Linked DNA regions of Saccharomyces cerevisiae S288C. Changing the gene in region 1 together with any one later gene gives a genetic interaction. Each region holds a gene or a part of one and is shown in the gene's direction. Other genes may lie near its edges.

Evidence for each region.
Region 2: of DUS3 (region 1) and MOD5, changing one enhances a phenotype caused by changing the other (phenotypic enhancement), as found in Saccharomyces cerevisiae (one study listed by BioGRID).

The regions. Positions count from the first base shown.
Region 1 is NC_001144.5:921,701-926,438, reverse strand, and holds DUS3 (tRNA dihydrouridine synthase DUS3), read left to right. Parts: upstream 1-1,990; coding exon 1,991-3,997; downstream 3,998-4,738. Other genes in the region: zinc-coordinating transcription factor SFP1, read right to left, coding at 1-871.
Region 2 is NC_001147.6:835,471-839,460, forward strand, and holds MOD5 (tRNA dimethylallyltransferase), read left to right. Parts: upstream 1-2,203; coding exon 2,204-3,490; downstream 3,491-3,990. Other genes in the region: TPO4 (Tpo4p), read right to left, coding at 1-961; RIM20 (Rim20p), read right to left, coding at 3,614-3,990. UniProt on the Saccharomyces cerevisiae protein: Catalyzes the transfer of a dimethylallyl group onto the adenine at position 37 in the anticodon loop on a specific subset of tRNAs both in the cytosol and the mitochondrion, leading to the formation of N6-(dimethylallyl)adenosine (i(6)A).

The DNA.
Region 1 (4,738 bases):
TGTTATTAGTTGCATTGCTGCTATGAGCCTGCATAGTATTAGTCTTATGACCTGCATTTTTTGTATTAGCGGCCATGTTATTCTGCAGGTTATAGTTGGCAGAAGAGGTATTATTTGTCATACGAACTGATGAACTAGTGTTACCAGCAGAGTTCATCGGTATTTGTGACATATTGGTAGTGTTAGGAGACGTGGATATATGAGCTTCTTCGTAATGTCTCAGCAAATCATGCAAACCTGGTAAGGAAAGACCACAGCATGAATAATCTTTACAATATTGCTTTTCTAGATTTGGCAGATAAGCAGTGTAGGCTATCTGAGGAGAAATAGAATACCCTCTATGGTAAGGCGGATTACTAACAGAGGGTCTCTTAGTTGGTTGTTGAATCTGCAAAGTATTAGTGGCAGTAGTGGTTGCAGAAGCGGCAGCGGAGGCAGCACCGTTTGCTGATGCAGGTACAATACTATTTCTACGGCTAATAATTTCATCTCTTAACCAAGAACCAACACTAATGGATCCCCATGAAACACCACCCATCCCTTGAGAATGGGCTATTGATTCTCTCCGTAACTTGGCAATGTCCTGTGGAGTTAGTAGCGTTTGGTCCATTATATTTGGAGAGTACAAATGAACATTATTTGTATTATTCATGATATTTTTTTGGTGAATATTATTGACGCCGTTAAAATCTGTGTTTTTTCCATTAGAAGAATCCGAATTGTTATTTATCAAAATGGAAGGAGTATTCTGGTTCGAATCAATATCAATATTAAAGTTTGATGACGAATTTATAGATGCATGTGCCGATGTAGCCGTCGTAGTAGTACTAGTAGCCATATTGCTTGCCATAGTCATTGTTGTAAAATCCATACTCAGATAAGCTTTTCCTGTTTCGAAGAAAAATAAAAATACTGAATATGAATATGTCTTTTAATAACAATAAATTTGAAAACGCCTTACAAGTGAAATCTTGAGGTGATTAATAGTAGGTGAATCCAGAGAAAGTGTTTCGAGGATATAATATGGTATCAGAAAGCCAAAAGACGACCGGTATATTATAAACTTAGTATGAATGTATCGTGGCGCTTTTTTCTCCTAGCTTTATTCTTCTTGCTTTCTCGCTCTAAATATGATATTGCGATAAAAGGAAGTAGTTTAACTCACCGTAAAATCGATCAATATTAGAAAAACAGAAAACCACCAGAGAGAAGCACCGATATGTAATTGAAGTAGAAAAAAAATCTAGCTTTCCTTCTCTTTATAAGCGAACTTAATGATTAGATTGACTAGCGCTATCCTTCTTTGATTGTAATATTTGTCAAACCTTGTTAACGGAGCCACTAGAATGTACAAGACGTTATATAGGGATGACAGGTAGAAAAGAGATAGGGCCTGGGAGGTAAAATGCGTACGTTAGCCTAGAGAGCTTTAAATCGGTGACGATGCGAAAGCAAATGATAATGGCAATAGCGGTGGCAGGCGACAGTGGCAAGTGACAATGGCTGATAGTGACGTTATTTGATACAAAATCGCCTTTTAACGAATGCATCGCCCATTTGTTCCAAATTTCAATTGATTCGAAATTGCTCCTTATTATGTAACTGACAAAATCCTGTCCCCTTGCACGACGTAGGCGCGTTTTGTTTCTTTTTCCTACCGCAGACCACCTTGCGCACGGGAACGCCGCACTGTTTGGCACCCAGTCACCGCCCGTACCGTCGTTCCACAGAACATGCCGCAGAAACCTGTCGGGTAATAGTACACGGGATGAAGAGACTTAATGCCGACAAGCCGGGTAGGGGAATTGTAGCTCCGAAAAGCGACGGAAAGTTCAATATACAGAAAGCCCGTGCACCATTTTTGAAAAGTTTCATAAGATCTAGTTAAAGTTATGAAGAATTTAGTTCGAATGTGTAGTGATGAGATGAGCAGTAATGAAACATTAATGAACTCAGAATAGGAAAAAAAGGCAACTTCTAAACATTATTGATGGAGCAAAACGCTGAAAAACGCTCTATTGTTGGCGACGACAACTCAACCGTGAAGAGACAAGACACTTCCCCGTCCAAAGGTATTGCACATATCAAACCAGAATATATTGTACCATTGAAGCAGAATGAAAACCAGAAGGTCGCCATCTATGATGAAGAGATGTCTTCCGACAGAATGACAAACGAGTTTGCAGGTGGGACTAATAAGAAAAATAAGAACGGAAGAGGTAAGAAGCGTGGGCAAAACAAGAATAGAGATAACAGGCAGGTCAAGGAACAGAATGTCTTGTGCCCACGCTTGATCCATGGCGATATATCTAAATGCTCCTTTGGTGATAACTGTAGGTTTGTTCACGATATCAATCTGTACCTTTCAACAAAAAAGCCTGAAGTTGAAAGTAATATATTTCCTTCCTGTCCGGTCTTCAACTCGTTGGGATTTTGCCCCATGGGATTCAAATGCAGATTTTTATCGTCTCATCTGAATAAAGAAGATAATATCCTAATATCGAAGAAGGAGATTGATCCAGATGCGCAAACAATATGGTCCGTTAAAGGTGAGGTAAACCATATCTCACCGGAAAGAAAACTCGATCTTATAAAAAGAAGATTTCCTTTCACAAAAAGTAATGAAATATTGGAAATCATCGACTCTTTCCAACAAGAATGTAGAGATTCCATGAAGCCAGAAGAAGAAGTTGAGTCAACGCCACAGCTGAAGAAACAAGACCCAGATGTGGAACAACCAGTTGCCCCCCAAGTCGAACAGAGGAACAAAGAATTGTCAGAACATAGAATGAAACAGCGTGAAGTATACTTGAAGTACAAGGACACTCGTTATTTTGCTCAAGAAAAAAAGCCACTGGATTTGTACCACAAAAAAATCGTGTCGCCATTGACAACCGTAGGCAATTTACCATACCGTCGTCTAATGAGAAAGTTAGGTGCAGATGTGACATATTCGGAAATGGCCTTGGCAGTTCCCTTAATTCAAGGAACTAATTCTGAGTGGGCGTTACCTAAAGCTCACACATCAGAGTTCCCCGGGTTCGGGGTTCAAGTGGCCTGTTCTAAAGCCTGGCAGGCGGCAAAGGCTGCAGAAGCACTCGCAAACTCCGTCAGTGAAATAAGTGAAATCAACTTAAACTCTGGCTGCCCCATCGATTTGCTATACAGACAAGGTTCTGGTAGCGCCCTGCTGGATAACCCTGCAAGAATGATTCGTTGTTTAAACGCGATGAACTACGTATCGAAAGATATTCCTATCACGGTGAAGATCAGAACAGGTACAAAGGAAGGTCATCCTATCGCGGAAGGGTTAGTCAAAAGACTGGTTAACGAAACTGATGTGGCTGCGATTACCTTACACGGTAGGTCTAGGCAACAAAGGTACACTAAGTCTGCGGATTGGGACTACGTGAGTCAAGTGGCTGACACCTTGAGATCCGCCGAAGCGGATTTCATCGAAACCGAACAAGGCAAAGAAGGCAGGGATTCCAAGAACAGAATTCAATTTGTCGGAAATGGTGATGTCAACAATTTTGAAGACTGGTACCGCTATTTGAACGGAAATGAAAATATTGATAGTGTTATGGTTGCTCGAGGGGCCCTGATCAAACCATGGATTTTTGAAGAGGTTGAGTCGCAGCAGTATCTAGACAAGACAAGTACGGAAAGATTAGACATTTTAAGGGATTATGCGCAGTTCTCTATGGAACACTGGGGCACCGACGAATACGGCATTTCTCAATGTCGTAGATTCTTCTGCGAGTTCATGTCCTTTTTTCATAGGTATGTCCCCATGGGTATTTGTGAAAGATACCCTGTGAAGTTGAATGAGAGACCGCCAAACTGGTGTGGAAGAGACGAACTTGAAACTCTAATGGGTAGTACGGATGTTAATGATTGGATCAAGCTAAGTGATCTATTTTTCGGTAAAACCGACGAGAACTTTGTATTTGTCCCCAAACATAAGAGCAGCTCTTATGCAAACAGAGATTCCTAAATAGAAAATCAAGTGTACATGTATCATAAATCATATCTGATGGGTAAGCGCGGTTATTTTTCCTTTGCAAGACGAGAATTGGAATATGTACGGGTGTCAATTTCAAACGTGAGGTATGGGTTCCAAGAAAATCAAAATAAGCACAGCTGGGAAGGGTTAGGTAGGAGCGGAGAAAAGTGTATTGAGAAAATCTTAACGAGTTCGGACAGGTTATCATCGCAACACAAATGAACATAACTATCAACCTGATGCAACTGTACCTGAGTGGCTCAAATAGCAGGTAAATACAGGTGGATTTAGAAAACGCGCAGTGATTTGAATCTCGCAAGTCGCCTCTGAAAAAAGGCATTTCGCAAACTGGGGTGTCTGGAAAGTTCATTACATCCCGTTCACATAGCTCCTTCCTGGTACTTGAGTAAGTCTTTTAAAACAATTCAACATCTACTTTGTATCAGGCGCTTGGATTTACACTTTTGGCATATTTATTCCTACGCTGCAGTTGCTATTAGCCGCGGAAAGGAAGTACAATAACGTTTTACGTCGATTCGTGTTTGTATTACCCAGCACCTTTTTCTTCTTGAAGATGTATGCACCCGTGCCCCCGCTGTAGTAGCCCCGCGCACTTTGTGTGTGCAGCAACTTCAGGCTTGCTCCGTGAACTCACAACGTCGGCCGTCGTCGCTTGTCGCGCGTCGTCGCGAAGTATTTAAACAAAGCGGGTTTTTCTTGTCCCTTAATTAA
Region 2 (3,990 bases), on another chromosome or scaffold:
CAAATACAATAGGTTCAACGACAAGCATTTTTAAAGGCCTTAAGATTGTAATAGTGACAGTGGTTTTTAAAAATTCTTTCTGAGCTTCCCTGCTGAACTTCTTCAAGGCTATATTTCTCTTCTTGGCACGCTTTCTTAAAATAATACCTTTATGGGTCTCTGGCATGAGCGCAATAAATGGCAAGATTAGACCGCCCGCAATCAATTGGATCCATTCAGACCAACGCCAGCCTTTGGCTTCAGTAGCAAATCCTGCCATAATAGGAGATAAAACTGGCCCTAAGAATGGAGATAGAACAAAGTATGTCATTGCGACGGAGACCTGGTCCACGTCAAAGATATCCAGGATGGTACCTGATCCAACGGATAAGGCGGGGGATGCAAAGACACCTGATAAAAACCTTAGGGGTAGAATTATTCTCATGTGGCCATTGGATAACCCAACACCCATGGTGAAAAGCATTGACACAGGTAGGGAAAATAAATAGACAGGCTTACGACCAAACACTTCACTTAATGGAGCGCCGATGACAGTCGATAAACCCAGAAGATAGAAAGTTAAACCAGCAAGCGCCAAAGTCTGACTAACGTGATATCTTTCTACCAATTCTGGTACGGAAGAAACATATAGGGAACTACCCATTGTGACGACCAAACAAAGAAAAGCTGAAGTCATAGTAGTATACCATTTCTTCAAAGAGGACCAATTATGCGGATTGTCTGGGTCATCGGGCCCGTCCCAATCGAGATCTCTTGGGTCAATTGGCTCGCCCCCTGTCATGTTATTGGAATCTGCATTCGGTTCTGATCTTTTTTCGTCCTCTGTTATTGACCCTGTCGAAGAAGAAGTCGAATCCAAGTTGCCGCTATTAGTTACATTTTTGTCCAAGGCTTTTGGTACCTGCTGTATGTTTGTTCGAGGATCTGAGTTAGATTCGGTTTTTGTCAAAGAAGAAGGCATTAGTAAAACTTAAAATATATGTATACGATGTCTATGCTTCTTTGTGTGTGTATGTGTGTGTATAAGATGGTATCTTTATTCTGTAATTTTCAGGAAAGTGATGACTAGAAAATCGATGTGTCAGGTACAACAAATTGACAACCTATAACTTTCCATACAGGCGAATATATATATACACATAAACACATTCAAGCCTCCGGTACCGTTTGCTCTGACAAGGACAATTAGCATGTAAGCACGAGTGCGGGTATGCAATCATTTCAGTGTTTCCTTCATTTGGCATAGTGTCGTAACACGGATTTAAGGTGAGCCGTCAGGGGCTTTTAAGCGGAGCCCCTGCAGCTTCATGAAGACGGAACCGCACGGGCCTATTACCTCGGGGATAGATCAATTATCCGAAGCGGGTCACAACCCGGAAATAATAACCACTATGCCCGACCGTACCGACGTGGCACTATTTTTGGGATCCGTGGAAGTCGGCCATTAGTGGTAATCGGCGAAAACAAGTTTATTGCAGCTAAAGCACGCCATACGGTTGATATAAACAGCAATTAGGCACTTTTTCTCTTATTATTCATATGCCTTATTGGCTTGTGGCTTGTGGCTTGTAGCCTATGCAAATGCATTTGCTGATAGCAGCATAAGAAAGTTGGGAAGAAACGCTAACTGTACTTTTTATATCCAGAGTTCATTAGTTGATCTTTTACCCCAATAATTTCTTCCACTTGCGGCCTGCTTCTTCGCATTTCTCCCATTCCGGGCCGCGACTCCGTAGTTCTTACAGAAACAGCCGCCTCCATAACCATCTATGATAGGAAAAAGATGGACAAACAGGAAAAGAGCTAGGGAGTATAACCTGATTCCTGACATGTATAGGATTCGGGTAATTTTGAAATACGAAGCTCTTTGCATTCCGAGACCGGTTTAGGAAGATTTATTTACATATCTACTTGCGCTATTGTGGTCATGCCTTCGAAAGATAAAGAGCGAATTTTGCTCGTATAAGCTAAAATCAGGTAAAAGTTCCTTATGTTGCTGCTCCTCGATGGCAACGTCGATCTAAGATCTTGATTACTGAATCAGGCGAAAGCACACGTTCATCTTTCGCTCATCGGAAAGAAAATTAAAACAGAAAAAAATTCTAAAATGGCAAAAAAGAAGAAAAGCTCAGTGAGGGCTGTATAGTTTATTAGATAAGCTACTATACGTACATATCTTTTGTAAATAGAACCAAAAATCTTCATGCTAAAGGGACCGCTTAAAGGTTGCTTAAATATGTCTAAAAAAGTTATAGTGATTGCTGGTACAACAGGAGTAGGAAAGTCTCAGTTGTCCATACAATTGGCACAAAAATTTAATGGCGAAGTTATCAATTCGGATTCTATGCAGGTATATAAAGATATTCCTATTATAACAAATAAACATCCGCTTCAAGAAAGAGAGGGCATTCCTCACCATGTAATGAATCACGTAGATTGGTCAGAAGAATACTATTCCCATCGTTTTGAAACTGAATGCATGAACGCTATTGAAGATATTCACCGGAGGGGTAAGATACCCATCGTTGTTGGGGGTACTCATTATTATTTGCAGACTCTTTTCAATAAGCGGGTCGATACGAAATCATCCGAACGTAAGCTCACAAGGAAGCAGCTCGATATTTTGGAATCGACTGACCCTGATGTGATTTATAACACACTTGTGAAGTGTGATCCTGATATAGCTACCAAATACCATCCTAATGACTACAGGAGGGTACAACGAATGTTGGAAATCTACTATAAGACGGGCAAAAAACCAAGCGAGACATTTAACGAACAAAAAATAACTTTGAAGTTTGATACCCTATTTTTATGGCTATACAGTAAGCCGGAGCCACTTTTCCAAAGGCTTGACGATCGTGTAGACGACATGCTAGAAAGAGGCGCCTTGCAAGAAATCAAGCAATTATATGAATATTACAGTCAAAATAAATTTACGCCGGAGCAATGCGAGAATGGTGTTTGGCAAGTTATTGGCTTCAAAGAATTCTTACCGTGGCTAACCGGGAAAACTGATGACAACACAGTAAAATTGGAGGATTGTATAGAAAGAATGAAAACGAGAACACGTCAATACGCAAAAAGGCAGGTAAAATGGATCAAGAAAATGCTGATACCTGACATCAAAGGCGATATATACTTACTGGATGCCACTGACCTTTCTCAATGGGACACGAATGCATCTCAAAGAGCGATAGCTATTTCCAATGACTTTATTAGCAATCGACCCATCAAGCAAGAAAGGGCACCTAAAGCCCTAGAGGAGCTGTTGTCTAAAGGCGAAACTACGATGAAGAAATTGGACGATTGGACACATTATACTTGCAACGTCTGTCGTAACGCAGATGGTAAGAACGTTGTAGCTATTGGCGAAAAATATTGGAAAATTCATTTGGGTAGCAGAAGACATAAATCCAACTTGAAAAGAAACACTCGTCAAGCTGATTTTGAAAAATGGAAAATAAACAAGAAGGAGACTGTGGAATGAAAATATTAGGAAAAAGGAGTTTATCCTGAGTGTATATATCTACATAAGTGAAGCTGGGTTTTGATAATGGAAAGGGAGGATGACAAGCTCAAAATATACTTTATAGATGAATGAGGACAGGTATCATTGGTCTTCAAATGTCAAACTCTTATCAAGCCTAGCTTTTTCTGCTCTTCTTGCTGTATCATATTCCTGTACCTCATTGTACAGATTGCTGGTAGAAGTAATTAAATTTTCGTAAAATGCTGTGCCGGCACTTAAATTTTCTTTCACCTCATCAAGCAGTTTGAAGGAATATCTCAGATCTTCAATATATAGCTCTCTGGGATCTATTCTTACCATTTTCTTTGGTTCAATCCCGCTTCTGCCGGGGTTATTCTTCTTACTTAGGTTTACTTCCTCAATAAGTTTGATATTTTCTTCCTTTGTACTATTAACGTATCTTAAATCTTCGTCAAAGTATTTTAAATGGCCTATGAAAATGGGTTCAAAGTCGACTG